Arabidopsis thaliana: one gene and its partners. The protein of the gene in region 1 interacts with the protein of each later gene in a pairwise test. Each region holds a gene or a part of one and is shown on either strand. Other genes may lie near its edges.

Region 1 (6,745 bases):
GTGAAATCCAACCCCGTCTACTGATCCAGCCCAAAAGAGGCAAAGCGCAAGCAAGATTGAGGAGATGACACCTCCGGCTAAGGAAACAAAACATTTCTTAAATTTAATTAAAGAGTTCAAATCTCAGAGATTGTTGTGTGTGCCAATTACGAGATGAACCTGAGAGATAGGACAATAAGCTGAGGTCTTTGAGCCAGACAGTAGGAAGAACAATAAGAGTCGTGGTAATGGCGAAAACTTGAGTAGAATCTAAAGAAAATCCGTTGATGTATAAGGAGGTATTTGGGAACATTCTTGACAAATTATCACTCATCATGATTATGTATTCCACACAAGATGCCTACAGAAAAAAATTCAAAGTTAGGACCTCAATTTCTTCAATCATGATATGAAACATGAAAGAGAGTTTGGTACTTACGTATAACTCTACGTAGAGAAGTATCTGAAATGTAATTCCAAACCCAAGTTAAGTTAGGATCACAATTCACACACAAACAAAGTTAAGATTGATTATTTGAAAAATAATCTTACAGAGACGAGGATGCGTCCAGTGGTTCCGAATGCAGCTTGACCGATGTCCGGGTAAGTGTGGATTCCAGGGGAGTTCTCGAGACATCTCTTGAGGAGAATGCCGGTGTAGAAAGTGATAATGCCAAAGGAGAAGAGTATGAAAAGCCCTAACCATCCTCCTTCTTTAACTGCGTAAGGCATTGTAAGTAAAGCTACTCCACATAGAACGTTAATTCCTGCAAAAAGAGAATGTTAAGAATCTCAATCTAAATAGAAAAGATAATCGTAAACTCAGTACTCTCGCACTAATGCTATACTAAACGTAAACTCAGTTCATCAATATATATCAGATTTGGTTTCAGTTTGATTATTTGACTAATCTTGGAAAACAGAGAAAACCTAACCAAAACTCAGATTGAACATTCCTAATGCAATTATTACCGTTGAGAACGGATTGAGAGAATGTGCAACTGCGGTTTTCTTGGGGAGTTAAAAGATCCCCTGGGACTGATAGCTGGAGATGAGAAGCAAGAAATGATTTGATGGAGGACACAACAGAGCTTTGGATCTCGTCTTTGTCTATGAGAAGTTGCTGTTTGCTTGGTGAAGAAGTAAACGAACCGAAAACAGAGCTTTGTCGTCTCTGGCGAAATGAAGAGACAAAACTTGTACTAGTCGGAGGTGTAACTCCAGTCAACAAATCCATAGATTGTCTGAAAATATCCCCAAGAACACCAAAATTATTCTCTAAAGAATAATTTCTTCAGATCTCTTACAAAAACAGAGCACTTAAAAAGAAAATGATTTACCGATAACTTCGAGGCCACGGAACGGGAACGTCTTCGGATCTGTTACGAGATAAAGGAGTTGAGGGAACGGAGCTCTCTGTTTGGCTTTCTTCATCTTCCTCATCGAACGTGTGATACAAATCTTCCCTTTCTTGATCGAATGTCTCGTTTTGCTTCATCTACTTTGTTTGTATTCTTCTACTGTGCTCTGTTTCAAAAACCAACAAAAGGTCTAAAAAGAAGAAGAAGAAGATTGAGAAGAAGCAACTAGGGGACGCAACGAAACGTGTTCTGTTTTCAAGTTCTAAATTATTGTCACGTTTCTTTATATTCTTTAATTAGCAGTCTCCTTACCTATGATGATGTCTCCCTGAATTTGTTTTTCCCCATAATTTAAATGTATTAATGAACAAATTCACGATTTTCCCATTATTCCACCAATAAGATAAATTTAATAATGTCCCATTATCCTATCACTACTAAATCTAAGAAACTTCAAGAACAATTCAAAGAATCTTCTACTCTGACGCGTAAGGTTCATTTACAAAAAATTTAGTTTTTATACAATAATACTATTTGCTTGAAAAAATATAAAAACGTTTCTGGCGAGGTTATTTATAAAACACAGAAATAGACACGTAATGAAGATTAGTTGATATGCATGTGATGTAAGAAGCCAATGACAGTTGGGTCATTAATTGGCCATTAAATGTTCATCTCTAATTACTTATGCAGCAGTTAAATTTATTTTTTGTTCGTTTTATTTTGGTAGCTGAGCACCTTCGTCTATAACTGCTTAAAAACTTACAATAATACTCAGACAATTTCTTACAGAACAAGAAAGCAAAGAAACTTACACATAAAAAAGCAATTGTATATATATATATATATATATATATCCACCCATCTCCAAGCAACCATTGATCATTCCAAGCTATCTACTTTTGCAGAGGTATATTGTAGAGAAGAAGAGGAATGAGAAATGGAGCTTTTTACATATATATGAAGAAGACTTATGATTTATCAATCTGGTTAAGCTTTCCGAGTCCATTGCAGTTAGCACAAACGATCTGAGGAAGATCCTTCCGTGCGGCGTTGGCTCTCAGAGTCACTCCTCCTTTCCTCACAAATCCTGCTCCGTCACATTCCGGACACCTAAACCACACACATTTCAGAGCTTAAACTCACAATGTACAATCTCTGATTCAGTTTACTACATCGGCTAAGAGTTTATGTACGTTTTCAAAATCCATAACAGAGGATTTAGTCCGGTTAAGATAATTCGAATGTTGAACCGGACAATAAACTATGATAATCTGCAATTGATCAGTCAAAATTTGGTTTAACGAGCATTAAAACCGGTTTAAGTCACAAGGTAAAAAGATGAGAGTGGTTTACGTGTCTTTGCGTTTGAAGAGGATCGGGAATGCAGTTCCGACGAGTGCAACGGCGATGGCTCCGCCGATTAAGTAGATTGTTCCGTCAGAAGAGACATCACCGACGGCGGCGACAACTACGGAGGAAGAAGATCTCTTGTTTTTGGGAAGAATCACATTGTTCGGTGATGGTGATCCCCACGAAGAAGAATGTTTCAGGAAGTTGGTTGATGACACGAACGTCGTCTGCAATGCCGGTGCGATCGTCATAATTTAGGGTTTTAAGTGACTGATTTCGATTTGGGGGAAGTAATAAGAAGAAGTGATTTGATTTTTATGGAAAGGTTTTGAATTTGGATTTGCTTCGTGACGTGTCACTCTCTCGAAGTGGATAACGTTTTCACTTGGGATTTTTGGGGTTCTTCAGTTTTCTTTTGTGTGTGGATAAGGTAGGCCCCTTCAAGATATTTCGAGTTAACAATTGGGCCTGTTAAGCCCATTATTAAGTTAGCGTGAACATAAGGCCCAAACTATTTGTCATTGTCTCTGACTCTCTGACCTTCGCAGAGTCTTTCTCTTCTTCCGTTGCTTCAATGGCGAAAGACGGACCTAACTGGGACGGTCTGCTTAAGTGGAGTCTCTCTCACTCCGATGGTACTCGACCTACTTGCCAATTAAGGTACGAAGTTTCTTTGTAATTTCAGGTTTTGTTGGTCACTTAGTGGAGCTTATGTTGTTTGTTGGGTTGTTTTAGAAATTTGCGTGGTTCTGCGTCAGTTTCTTATGAGGAATGAATCATGTAGTGGAATTTGACTATTTGATTTGGTATTGTTTGGTAGATGGTTTTTGATGATATGAAATTGTTTGGTTAGACAGTGAGGAGGATCGAAAATGGTTTGCAGAAGCTATGCAATCACAAACGGTAGATGTAGTCAAGCGGTTGAAGGAGATTACACAGGTATTGCAGACACCTCAACAAGTTTTGGAGGCTCATGAAGTGACCCCTCAAGATATTGAAGGTTCAATATGGAGTTCACTATTGTTTTCTTAGCTATTTTCTCTCTTGTTGGTTACTAAGATTTTGAGTTATGATGATTTGGTAGGTTTGTTGGATGAGTTGCAGGAACATGTTGAATCGATTGATATGGCTAATGGTGAGTCTTTTCATACTTTGACCTTGTAACTTTGTTCTATATCTGTCTTTTGATTGCTGGGCTTAACTTGTACTTCTTTGAATGTATGGGCAGATCTTCATTCCGTTGGAGGCTTGGTACCTCTTCTTGGCTACCTCAAAAACTCCAATGCTAATATCCGGGCTAAGTCTGCAGATGTTGTAAGCACAATAGTTGAGAACAATCCTCGGAGTCAAGAATCAGTTATGGAAGCCAATGGTTTAGAGTCCTTGCTTTTAAGGTTTACTTCAGACACCGATATGCATTCTCGAACACAGGCTCTCGGTGCAATATCATGTAAGCTGCTCTGAGTTCTATCCTATATACTTAGATGGTCGAATGCCTTTTTCAAAAACAAAAATGTCTATCGTAAATCTGATGAATGTATTGTGGTAAATTTGGGGTACAGCTTTGATTCGCAATAATAAACCTGGGATCACAGGTTTCCGGATTGCAAATGGTTACTCTGGTTTAAAAGATGCTTTGGAAACTGATAGTGTGAGATTTCAAAGGTAATAATACTCTTCACTTTTCTTCATGCTTGGATTCCTCTGAACTTTGAGAGAACACAAAGTTGTAACCTTTGTTCTGCTGTTGTCTAACTTTCAAAACTTTTGTCATTACTTTCTCATTCTTCAGGAAAGCTTTAAACTTGTTGCATTATCTTCTACAAGAGAATGACTCAGACTCCGATATTGCTATAGAATTCGGGCTTCACCATTTGATGATGCACCTCGTGTCTAGCTTCGATGCTGATGTAAGAGAAGCTGCTCTTCGAGGATTGCTTGAGCTCGTGAAAGCTAGAAAAGACTGTAGTACTTGTGGTTCTAGCATAGTGAAAGGCGATGAGAGACTCAGACAGATTCTAAAAGATCGGATCAAAGCAATCAGCCGGGTCAAAGCAATGAGCTTGTTTATGTCACAAGAAGATCTATCAGCCGCTAAAGAGGAGAGGCAGCTCTTAGATTCACTATGGACCACAATCTTCAACGAACCTTCTTCTCTTTAGAGACAAAGATACAAAGAGACAAAACCGTCTGTGCTTCCTTATATCATGAGTAAGCACTAAAACCGTCTTTTATGTCTTTGGACCCACCAGCTAAAGCTTGTGTCTTTAGAACACTAGTTAAAAGGATGGTAACCACTGTATAATGACCAAATTTTGATTCTATTTTGAGTTCAAATTTTCTCAGTTTCTCATTCAATGACCTAAAAACAGACCGTACAAGTACCAAATCAAGCTACTGCATGATAAACATAACATAAAAATCAGAAGCCTCTCACTTTGGAGGACAGAAAGTGATAACATAACGAGAAGCTCTACACTTATTCAAACTACTAGAATCATCAAACGCATAACTATAAGCTTTAGGACAAATCGCTTTAAACAGATTCGCGAACAGAGTCGGCTTACACGCCTGAGGATTCGCATATTCACCGGTGCAACAATACTTAGCCGATTGCATCGCCAAGCAAGCACTTTTACAACCAACCACTTTCCCATCTCTCTTAACTTCCAAAGCTGATGGACAACAAATGTTCAAATTCACTTCACAAGCCGCAACGCCACATCCAACTCCACCGCCGATTGGTTTCATCGACACCGGAAGATTGAAACCGTCGACGAGACTTACGTCGTAGAAATGAAGCGGAGAGGAAGATGAGCCTAATGTCATTTCTACTACGGTTGCTGGTGGTACACCGCCGGTTCCTTGGCAGTTGATAGAGCCGTCGTTGCAGTCTCCGGTTTGGCATGAGCCTTTACCGTTTTGGTTAAAGGTGCAGCCTTGTCTACCCCAGATTCGACCGGACCATTTATCCGGTACGTCTATGATGGTTTCTTCGCCGCTTCCCATGTGGAATCCGCCGTTTCTTGGTGTGATTTGGCCTCCGCCGCCGAGAATTCCCGGCCAAATGCTCTCCTGGCAGTTATTCACTATTATAAGCTGAGCTCCATCTGCAAAAGAACAAAGTCACTATTATTGAGAGGAATCAAAACGAGAAACAAAACCCATTTCATAAATTATCGAGAAGGAGAAGAGATATCGTACCAGTGAAGGCTGAGATAGTGAGAAAGAGAAGGAATAGAGTTGCAGATTTCGTCATTGTTGTTGATGTTGTTGTTGTTGTGTGGGGATATATCACTTCTAAAGTTTGCTTTTGTGTGTGTTGTGGTTGTTTTCAAGAGAATATTAATAAAGAATATGTTGAGGACGTCGTGGTCGAAGGAAGAAGTGGAAACTTGGGTTGCAAGACTAATATTGGTGTGGTGAAGTGGATTGTTGTATAGGGAACTGCCAAGTGCTAACGTTTTATAAACTGAGACTTTCATGGGATTAGTGGGAAAGAGAAAGATATGGAGGCTTGATCGTGAGCCTTCTTCTATGAAGAATGGGTTAAAGTTGGATTTAAAGAAAAAGAGAAAGATTCATATGTCTCTCAAACGTTTATTATTGGATAAAGATTAACACTCATAGATTTCTTCATCATTGCATTTCTTTAAGGCAAATTTGTTTATACTTTACAATCCATAACTAATTTTCAGACCTAGCTAAAATCTCATTGTCTAACATTTTAATTATTCTTAGAAATTGATTTGATATTTTTGAATATAGTTTTATAATTTTTGTAATAATGTCGTAATGTTACCACCTGAATTCACTGTTTTGAGTCTATATGAAAATTGTAATAAGGAAAATGTTAGAGTGCTTCACTAGAGTTTTGAACTTTTGATTTTATATGTCAGTTTGTTTTTCTTTCAAAAATTATGTTATATGTTATCTATGCGTATATAAACTTCATCACTTGCTAGTAGCCTAGCATGTCCCAACATTTCTTACCTTTGCTATGACCTTTTTCACTTTGTACATCAAATCAGCAGAGAGCATATATGCATTAC
Region 2 (2,559 bases), on another chromosome or scaffold:
AGGGCATTACGTGCTCTTCTGGGAGCTAAAGCCACGTCACAGCAATGACCCACCAAAGCTTGACGACAAGACAATGGAGGATTGTTGCTCTGAGGTTGAGGATTGTTTGGATTACGTCTACAGGAGATGCAGGAACAGGGACAAGTCGATTGGGCCATTGGAGATAAGAGTGGTGAGTTTGGGCACGTTTGATTCGTTAATGGATTTTTGTGTCTCACAAGGATCATCTTTGAATCAGTATAAGACTCCAAGATGTGTTAAATCTGGAGGAGCTCTTGAGATTCTTGATTCCAGAGTTATTGGGAGGTTCTTCAGTAAGAGAGTTCCTCAATGGGAACCACTTGGTTTAGATTCTTAGACTTTACTTCTTTTTCTTTAATGTATGATTAAAGTCTTGATTTTATAAGTATAAGATCTTCATTTGTTAAGTTGCTAATTGGTGTTTCTTTTTTTAATTGTTAAGCTTTTGTCTCTTTTGTAACAAACTTTCAGCAAAGTCCTCTCATTTTGTGAATGTATACTTTTGTGTCTCTTTCTTTATTATTCTTTGTCTCCCTCTCTTTTTCGAAAAGATTAAAAAAAATCGTACCAAACCCTTTACATAAAATCTAGCTCATCTCTTTTTTTCTTCATAGGAATGGTAATATATTCATATTGTATACATAAATCGAACATAACTGAAAAATAAAAACAGAGATTTTAAGACCGAAAAAATATTATAAAAGAGAAACTTTCGAAGTTCTCTTTTGCAATATATCTACGTTAGTATAAGATAAAGATGAAAATAAAATGAGGAGATTGAAATAATTGGATAGAGAGGTGAAGAGTGACGTATAGATGCACATGAAGATGGTGATGGTTTAATATGCCAGCCAACACACAGCAACATCATTGAGATCCACATTTCTTTCTTACATCATTTCTATTTTTTTTCTTGCATAAATCTCAACTCTATCTCTCGTCAACAGTTTTCACTTTTCTTTCTTTTTTCTCTTCTAAAATCCTGAAAATAATTTATATAAATGATCGTTACTTGTACTAGTTGTACATGTAATAAGTGTTGAAGTTGATTAAAACCACACAAAAAGTTTTGTTATGAATTTAATATAAGTTCACTAATATATGCAAAACCATTGTTTAATATGGAAACTATAAAGATTTTCGGAGCAAATTTCTTCCAAGTGTTGACATTTAACAAGTCTTGGATTTGTTTTCAGCTCAAAGTAGGTTTAACTCATTATTAGTAGAAAACCATGTGCCTGAATAGTATTGTAATGTAAACTGCAGAATATAAAATTTTAAGAATATTCGAACAACAATAAACGATGTGTGGTCTTATGAAATCATTATTATATAAAATAAAAACCAAAATTCTTTATATCAGCTATTCATTTTCACATCATAATCTACCTTTTCAAATTGTGGTTTTAATGACATAATTAAAATTAAATATACTAACTATATGAGTATTTGGTAGGACTACCAACGTATATCTATTACTACATTTAATGTCTGTTTGAATGTGGCTGTCGACATACATATATAGCCGTAAAATTTCAATATACAACCTATGTTAAGATATTGGATGAATATATTTTAAAACAAATCGATATATTACCATGATTTGATTTTTATAAAAACATTAAATTTGTAGAAATTTTTCTTGAAACTATCATGAACAAAAAAAACAGATGACATAGGTTTTGATCTAAATAACAATACTGTTAAATATATTTTGAACCAGATTGGCTACCGAATTCAATTTTTCTATTGGGGCTATAGGTGTTCTCCCGGGGAAAATAACCAATGGAGTTGATTACGTTGCTCCTCGCAGTTCTCCCTTTAACACCAACGGTAGATAGGAACCGAAATGTCTCACGACAATCTAAACCCAGGGCTCAGGCAAGAAAACCAGGGAAGCGTGAAAGAGCTCACTCGTCCAAAGTTAGATCTAGCGAATAGCGATAGCGTTTTTGTTTGTATAACAACTTGTAATCCACACTCATAGTTTCGGATATTCAAAAGTTTGATCGAATCAAAACGGTAATGTGGCTAATATGCCCACCCACCCCTCGTAGCTAGATTCATCGTAAGAAATGAATTGAAAGCATGGTAAAATAAAAGCAAAGCATGGTTAATGTGGAAGTAAGTAACCGACAAGAGTTGGATATGATGGATGTGTTGCTATAAAGAGTAAATGGGGTAAAAGAGACAGATCTATGACCCCAAATATTAAAGCAAAAGAAAAAAGGGAACAAACTTAACTGTTCACTTAAGAGAAAACGATGAGTTTCCTCTCAACTGTCCTGTCATGTTACTTTCCGTATCGCTCTCCAGAACAAAAACGCTGTCGTTTTCGTCTCGCTACCAACACAAAACCATTGCAACCCCATCTAATCCTGCTGTTTCAGTGTATATAAAATAAATAAATAAAACTGTTCATTGCATGTAAGTCTGGAAATATATACACGTATTGTCAACTTAATGACAGATTCGAATAATGCATTTTTCTTCGATAAGAATCTATCCACAATAGTTTTGATTAGAGAGCGAGACCCC
Region 3 (4,904 bases), on another chromosome or scaffold:
ATTGTAACAACAAAACAAGGACCTAATTAACAAAAAAAAAAAAAAAGAGGAGTCATAACGATCCAATGTTGTTTCTTCTTAGTCGTACGGAATCTGGATATAGGCAGCATCACAGACAAACGGGATGTCTGCGTACATACCCGCAAGTGCACACCGTATGCTTTCAAGGACGGTAAACAGATAAGCAAACGCAACAGCAGTCCAGAAATGCATCCCAAACTTACCCCAATAGACTCCAAGAGGCATCCACTTGCTAACGGTCCCTATAACCTGGAGTGCGATTTCAAGCAGCATACCCATCACTACATGGAACCTGAAGAAGTGAGGCCATTCTTTTCTTCGCACTATCCCTAGATAAGCTACAAAAAAGTAAGCCATGAGGAACCAGCTTGGTAATCTTCCTATGGCGCCTAGAAATGGGTAGGTTAAGAATTCAAAATCTTCTAGGAATGGGTGGAGATGGTAAGCGGTTTCTGCATACATCCAAGTTTCATGCAGTGGCATTAGGTAAGGCAGGCAAGCCAAAGTTCTCCACCACCATTGTGGCTTCTTGGTCATCGGGGGAAATCGGAAGCTAGAAGGTACATCTTTTGACGCTCGTGGAGTCAAAAGAGTTTTTCTGCGGACAGGTAACACAGGTAATGTACCAGATAGACTACCTTGTTCTCCATTCAGAAGCAGAGAAGACGAGGCTGAGAGATATGACAGAGGCACACCTAAAACAATCAAAGTATACAAGATTGAATTAGGAAACAAAAGCAGCACCTTTGAAATACCAAAGTCACTTATCCTAGTTTCAGCCCATGGACAGGTCTTTTAATATTCACATCATATAAACTCATTGGAGCAATTTACAGATATAAGCAGGGATATATGATAATAAGTGTTTGAAACCATATGAGTAGAAGAAATTCACATGCCTCTTGACACTCTCGGAAGCTCATTGAAAGGTGAAGGTGGTGATCCCCACGAGTTCTTTACGACAGGCAATGAACTTCGAGCAAGATAATGTTGAGTCTGTCCTGCTGCAGCTCTATATGATGATGACTTGAATGCCCGAGAGCTCATTAGAACATGTGCACTTGGCGTGCTGTATCCAGTTATCATCCTTACCAACTAAAATGCCTATACCAAAACAAACGAAACATGGGAAATCGAATTTGAACAGACGACTGTAGAAACAAAATCTCATCCGATAAATTTCAATTCCCATAAACATATTTCGGTACCCTAAACCAGAGATTGCTCAAGACCAGCTAGAACATTGCAAACCTACCCAAGCGCTTCGACTAATTAGAACCCATAAATCAAACAAAATCGATTCTTTTCATAAATCCATGAGATAATTTAGAGAGAAGAAGAAGTTACGAACCTTCACAAACAAGGAATGGTATAATCGAAGCTGGAGGTAAAAGAAGAAGAGTAGGGTTTATGGAGCATTCATCTGTACTTCATCATCTGAATCCTATCCTTCTTCACTCCCCCAATAAAGAAAAATGGCGATTACTCTCTCTTTCTCTCCCGTGTTTAAATTGACACTAATACCCTCAGGCCCAGATCGGCCCAAAACCTGAAAACCTCCCTATGAGTAAGAGGGTTCGCGCATTATTAAACCGTGACCAAATTTGAAACTTTTTTTTTTCTTTTTACTGTTTCCCCAAAAATTCTTTTGAAAATCGAATCGACAAATTCCTTCCGCCGTCGGAATGTCAATTCCCGATCCCAACTCCTCCGCATCTCTAACGGTGTCTCCGTCTCTATCCACCGCATCGGAAACTCCGGTAACACCAGTAAACACTGTTAGACCACCGCCGTCTCAGCCACCTCCTGCTCCGCCGCCACTACCGCCGCCGACTTACAGACCCATAGCTCCGCTTCGCCACCCTAATCCGTTCCAACAACAATCTGCTTATAGTAATAACCTCTACGCACATTCGATTCCGGTCAGACGCCAAATTCAAGATCCGTCAGCTGTTCTTTACCCGTTTGCTCTACCGGGTCGAGGGTTTTCAGCCCGACCTGTTCGAGGATTCGTCGCAGATCCTTCCGTGACGGCTGGTAATCTGAGTGGGTACCCTCCTCGCCCGAGTTTTACTTACGATCCTGGACCATATGAGCAGCGTCAAATGGAATCCTTGTTGCAGCAGTTTATAAGGGAGAGAAATCCTCAGATTCGTCCATTACCACGCCTTGGATTGGGTTCTCCTGTTGGGTTGGGTCCCATTAGAGCAAGTCCTCAATTTCTGCAACCGCGGGTGAGGTTTCTTAGATGAAGTCCTCAATTTCTGCTTGTCATGTTTCATTTGTTAATGCTTAGATTCTAGCTAAGTAGTGGAAAGATTAGTGGGGAAAATGCTCGAGATGATCCAAAGTTTCTTGATTGGAGTCTTAGTAGAACTGAATCTGACTGTACCGTGACTTAAGAATCATCTTGGTTAATATTGGATCCATTTTTGTCAGAGTGATTCTCATTCGAACTAATGCATGTAGTTCTAGAATTTTGATCGACTAGTCTAGTTATACAACAATGTGAGTTGTTGGACGTGTCTTTCATGGTTTTCTTATAAACCATGTGATAGTTAGTAATTGGATCTAGTTATCTTTCTATTTTGGTTCTTTGTCCTGCTATGTGCCTGCTTTACTCTGGTCTTGAAAATTCTCTTTTGTGGAATGAGGAAGACTTGAAAATGCTTTTATATCTTAGCAAATGTTAAGCTGTTCTTCTCTTAATAGTTGGTTTGCACCTACTTACTTTTGATTATTGCTCTTGCTCCAGTCACATTTTCTCATTTTCGTAAATTTTGGTACTTAGGTTGCCCCGCCCCCAACTTCAATTCTAGACACTAGCAGGAATAGAAAGGCCAGGTGAACATCAAATTTCTCTACTTTGATATTACCTTTCTTTTGGTTTCACTGAAAATATTATTTTAAAAAAAACTTGTTCAAGAGACTTAGTTGCCTTGCTGTTTCTTCTTCCTTGTTATTAGAAGCAAGGATGGGGCTCTTGCCGTTGTTAGAGGGAGAAAGGTAAGCCTACTATCATATGTACTGCTTGTTTGAGAATTTGGAAAAGACATCTGTTAAGTTTAGATTGTAATACTATTCAACTGTTTACAGGTCCGAATCACTGAGGGGTCTTCTTCTCTTTATTCACTTGGTCGATCGTGGTTGAAAAATGGTGCTCACGTTGGAATTCAGGTTCGCACTTTATATGCTGCTGTTAGAGTAGGATGTTAGTGTCATTGACGACTCCGCTTGATAAAAGATTCATCGGTTGTATTTTCAAGATATTGGTTTGTGGGGTTTTGATTCAGAAAACCTCTCAGAATGCCAAATTTACTCGAATTTGGAAACTAAATTACTTTTGATCACTCACCTATTTGCATCCGTGCTAGTTAGAGGATTCTTTCTTGATATAGTTATATTTTTAGAAGCCAATCTTAGTTAAATGATCTTCAATTGCATACTCAAAGCTTGTTATCTGCTTTGCAATGGAAATGTGCATCTGCAATCTCTTGAGCGTAACCATATATCTGGGACTAATCTAACTTTCAGTTTCTCTGTTGACAGCCGCAAAGGAGTGGTATAATGAAACCTTTGCCAAAACCGTTACCTGTGGATTTAACAACAGAGACAAGTGTACCAGATGATCCAGATGAAGAATCAGCGGATGAAGACAAAGAGGTTTGTGTTAAGTCTTCAAGAACCATTGATTCTATCTGAGCAGAACAGAAGACATTAGTCTGATTCTTTCCTGCTGTTGCTAATTTCAGCTCTTGAATATTTACTACATGACGTTTGATTCCACTCTTTTCTTTGATGATCTCAGGACGAGGAAGCTGTAAAGCAATTATCTGAGAAGGATCTTTTGAAAAGACACATCGAGCGAGCTAAGAAAGTCCGTGCACAGTAAGCTCCCCACTATTCTCTCTTTTTGCTCCTTAGGTCGTGTAGTATTTGAAAGATAAAGCTCCCCACAAGATTCATGGATTAGTTTTCATAATCATCAAAGCAAATCTAGCAGAATATTTTGGTAACTTGAAAAAGCGGATTTCTTTCTCTTTCAGATTACGAGAAGAACGGTCGAGGAGGATCAGGAGGTACAAAGAAAGAATAACTCTTATTCTGGCACAATCCGAAGACCGATGATGCTTGAAGAACGACTAAAAAAGGGTAAAGTTTTGTTAGGAATTAGCTTCATATGACTGTTGTTGATTTAGCATACTAGTACCACGTAACAACATACGTGTAGTAATAGTATAGGTGTGTTCTTCTTCGTCTTCTATAGATTAGTAGGACTACTCAATGAATAGTGTTTCATTCTTCCTAAAACTAAAGAGGAAGATAAAATTGTTTCCTTAAAGTCAGCTTTTACTAATTTGACAATAAAAATTTCTTCTCTTACACATGTGTCAATCAGCGAAGTGGTAATAAATAAACTTTACTGTCATTCGACTAATTGTAACTTTATAAACAAGATTTGAGAAAAATTGAGATTTTGTAGTAAATAGGTGGAAGTCTCTAATTGGATTAGAGGCTTTTCGAGAGAGAATCGCATAGGGAAGCGGACAGAGAAGATAACAAACGCTCATATTTAAACTCTCTTTCCGTTACATTTGCCACGTAATTACAACAAACACGTGTCATCGCCGCTAAGAACTAATTTTTGTCATTGCTCCACACATGCAACTACTAAACTACCGATGATCTCTCTCGCTCACGTTTAATCCGCCATTTCTGTAAAATCCTCTTCCCTTTTCTGAAGTAAACTTTTTCCCGCAATCAACTCTTGCTTTCTATTTTTCTCGATTGTTTACACTTTTCATTTTCAGCTCTCTGTTTCTTTCTTTCACACTAACCCCAATTCTAGTTTCTTACTCTCCAAGAAACAAAGAGCACCGATC

The links. Proteins that work in one complex are often made in the same cells at the same time.
Region 2: the proteins of Fes1C (region 1) and AT1G28135 interact in a two-hybrid assay, tested with the Arabidopsis thaliana proteins (one large-scale study listed by BioGRID).
Region 3: the proteins of Fes1C (region 1) and AT1G04930 interact in a two-hybrid assay, tested with the Arabidopsis thaliana proteins (one large-scale study listed by BioGRID).

The regions. Positions count from the first base shown.
Region 1 is NC_003076.8:422,591-429,335, reverse strand, and holds Fes1C (Fes1C), read left to right. Parts: upstream 1-2,957; 5' UTR 2,958-3,123; intron 3,124-3,219; exon of another isoform or gene 3,220-3,241; 5' UTR 3,242-3,267; coding exon 3,268-3,353; intron 3,354-3,546; exon of another isoform or gene 3,547-3,550; coding exon 3,551-3,693; intron 3,694-3,777; coding exon 3,778-3,828; intron 3,829-3,921; coding exon 3,922-4,143; intron 4,144-4,255; coding exon 4,256-4,358; intron 4,359-4,485; coding exon 4,486-4,855; downstream 4,856-6,745. Other genes in the region: AT5G02170 (Transmembrane amino acid transporter family protein), read right to left, coding at 1-77, 160-340, 419-442, 532-746, 952-1,223, 1,320-1,477; AT5G02160 (uncharacterized protein), read right to left, coding at 2,312-2,453, 2,697-2,944; AT5G02140 (Pathogenesis-related thaumatin superfamily protein), read right to left, coding at 4,899-5,055, 5,131-5,803, 5,898-5,952.
Region 2 is NC_003070.9:9,827,526-9,830,084, forward strand, and holds AT1G28135 (uncharacterized protein), read left to right. Parts: upstream 1-1,735; 5' UTR 1,736-1,806; coding exon 1,807-1,962; 3' UTR 1,963-2,059; downstream 2,060-2,559. Other genes in the region: GH3.17 (Auxin-responsive GH3 family protein), read left to right, coding at 1-358.
Region 3 is NC_003070.9:1,395,791-1,400,694, reverse strand, and holds AT1G04930 (hydroxyproline-rich glycoprotein family protein), read left to right. Parts: upstream 1-1,641; 5' UTR 1,642-1,706; coding exon 1,707-2,255; intron 2,256-2,324; coding exon 2,325-2,414; intron 2,415-2,812; coding exon 2,813-2,865; intron 2,866-2,987; coding exon 2,988-3,027; intron 3,028-3,117; coding exon 3,118-3,198; intron 3,199-3,555; coding exon of another isoform or gene 3,556-3,567; exon of another isoform or gene 3,568-3,570; coding exon 3,571-3,684; intron 3,685-3,829; coding exon 3,830-3,909; intron 3,910-4,067; coding exon 4,068-4,149; 3' UTR 4,150-4,404; downstream 4,405-4,904. Other genes in the region: Tic20-I (translocon at the inner envelope membrane of chloroplasts 20), read right to left, coding at 79-716, 921-1,107; AT1G04945 (HIT-type Zinc finger family protein), read right to left, coding at 141-716, 921-1,107.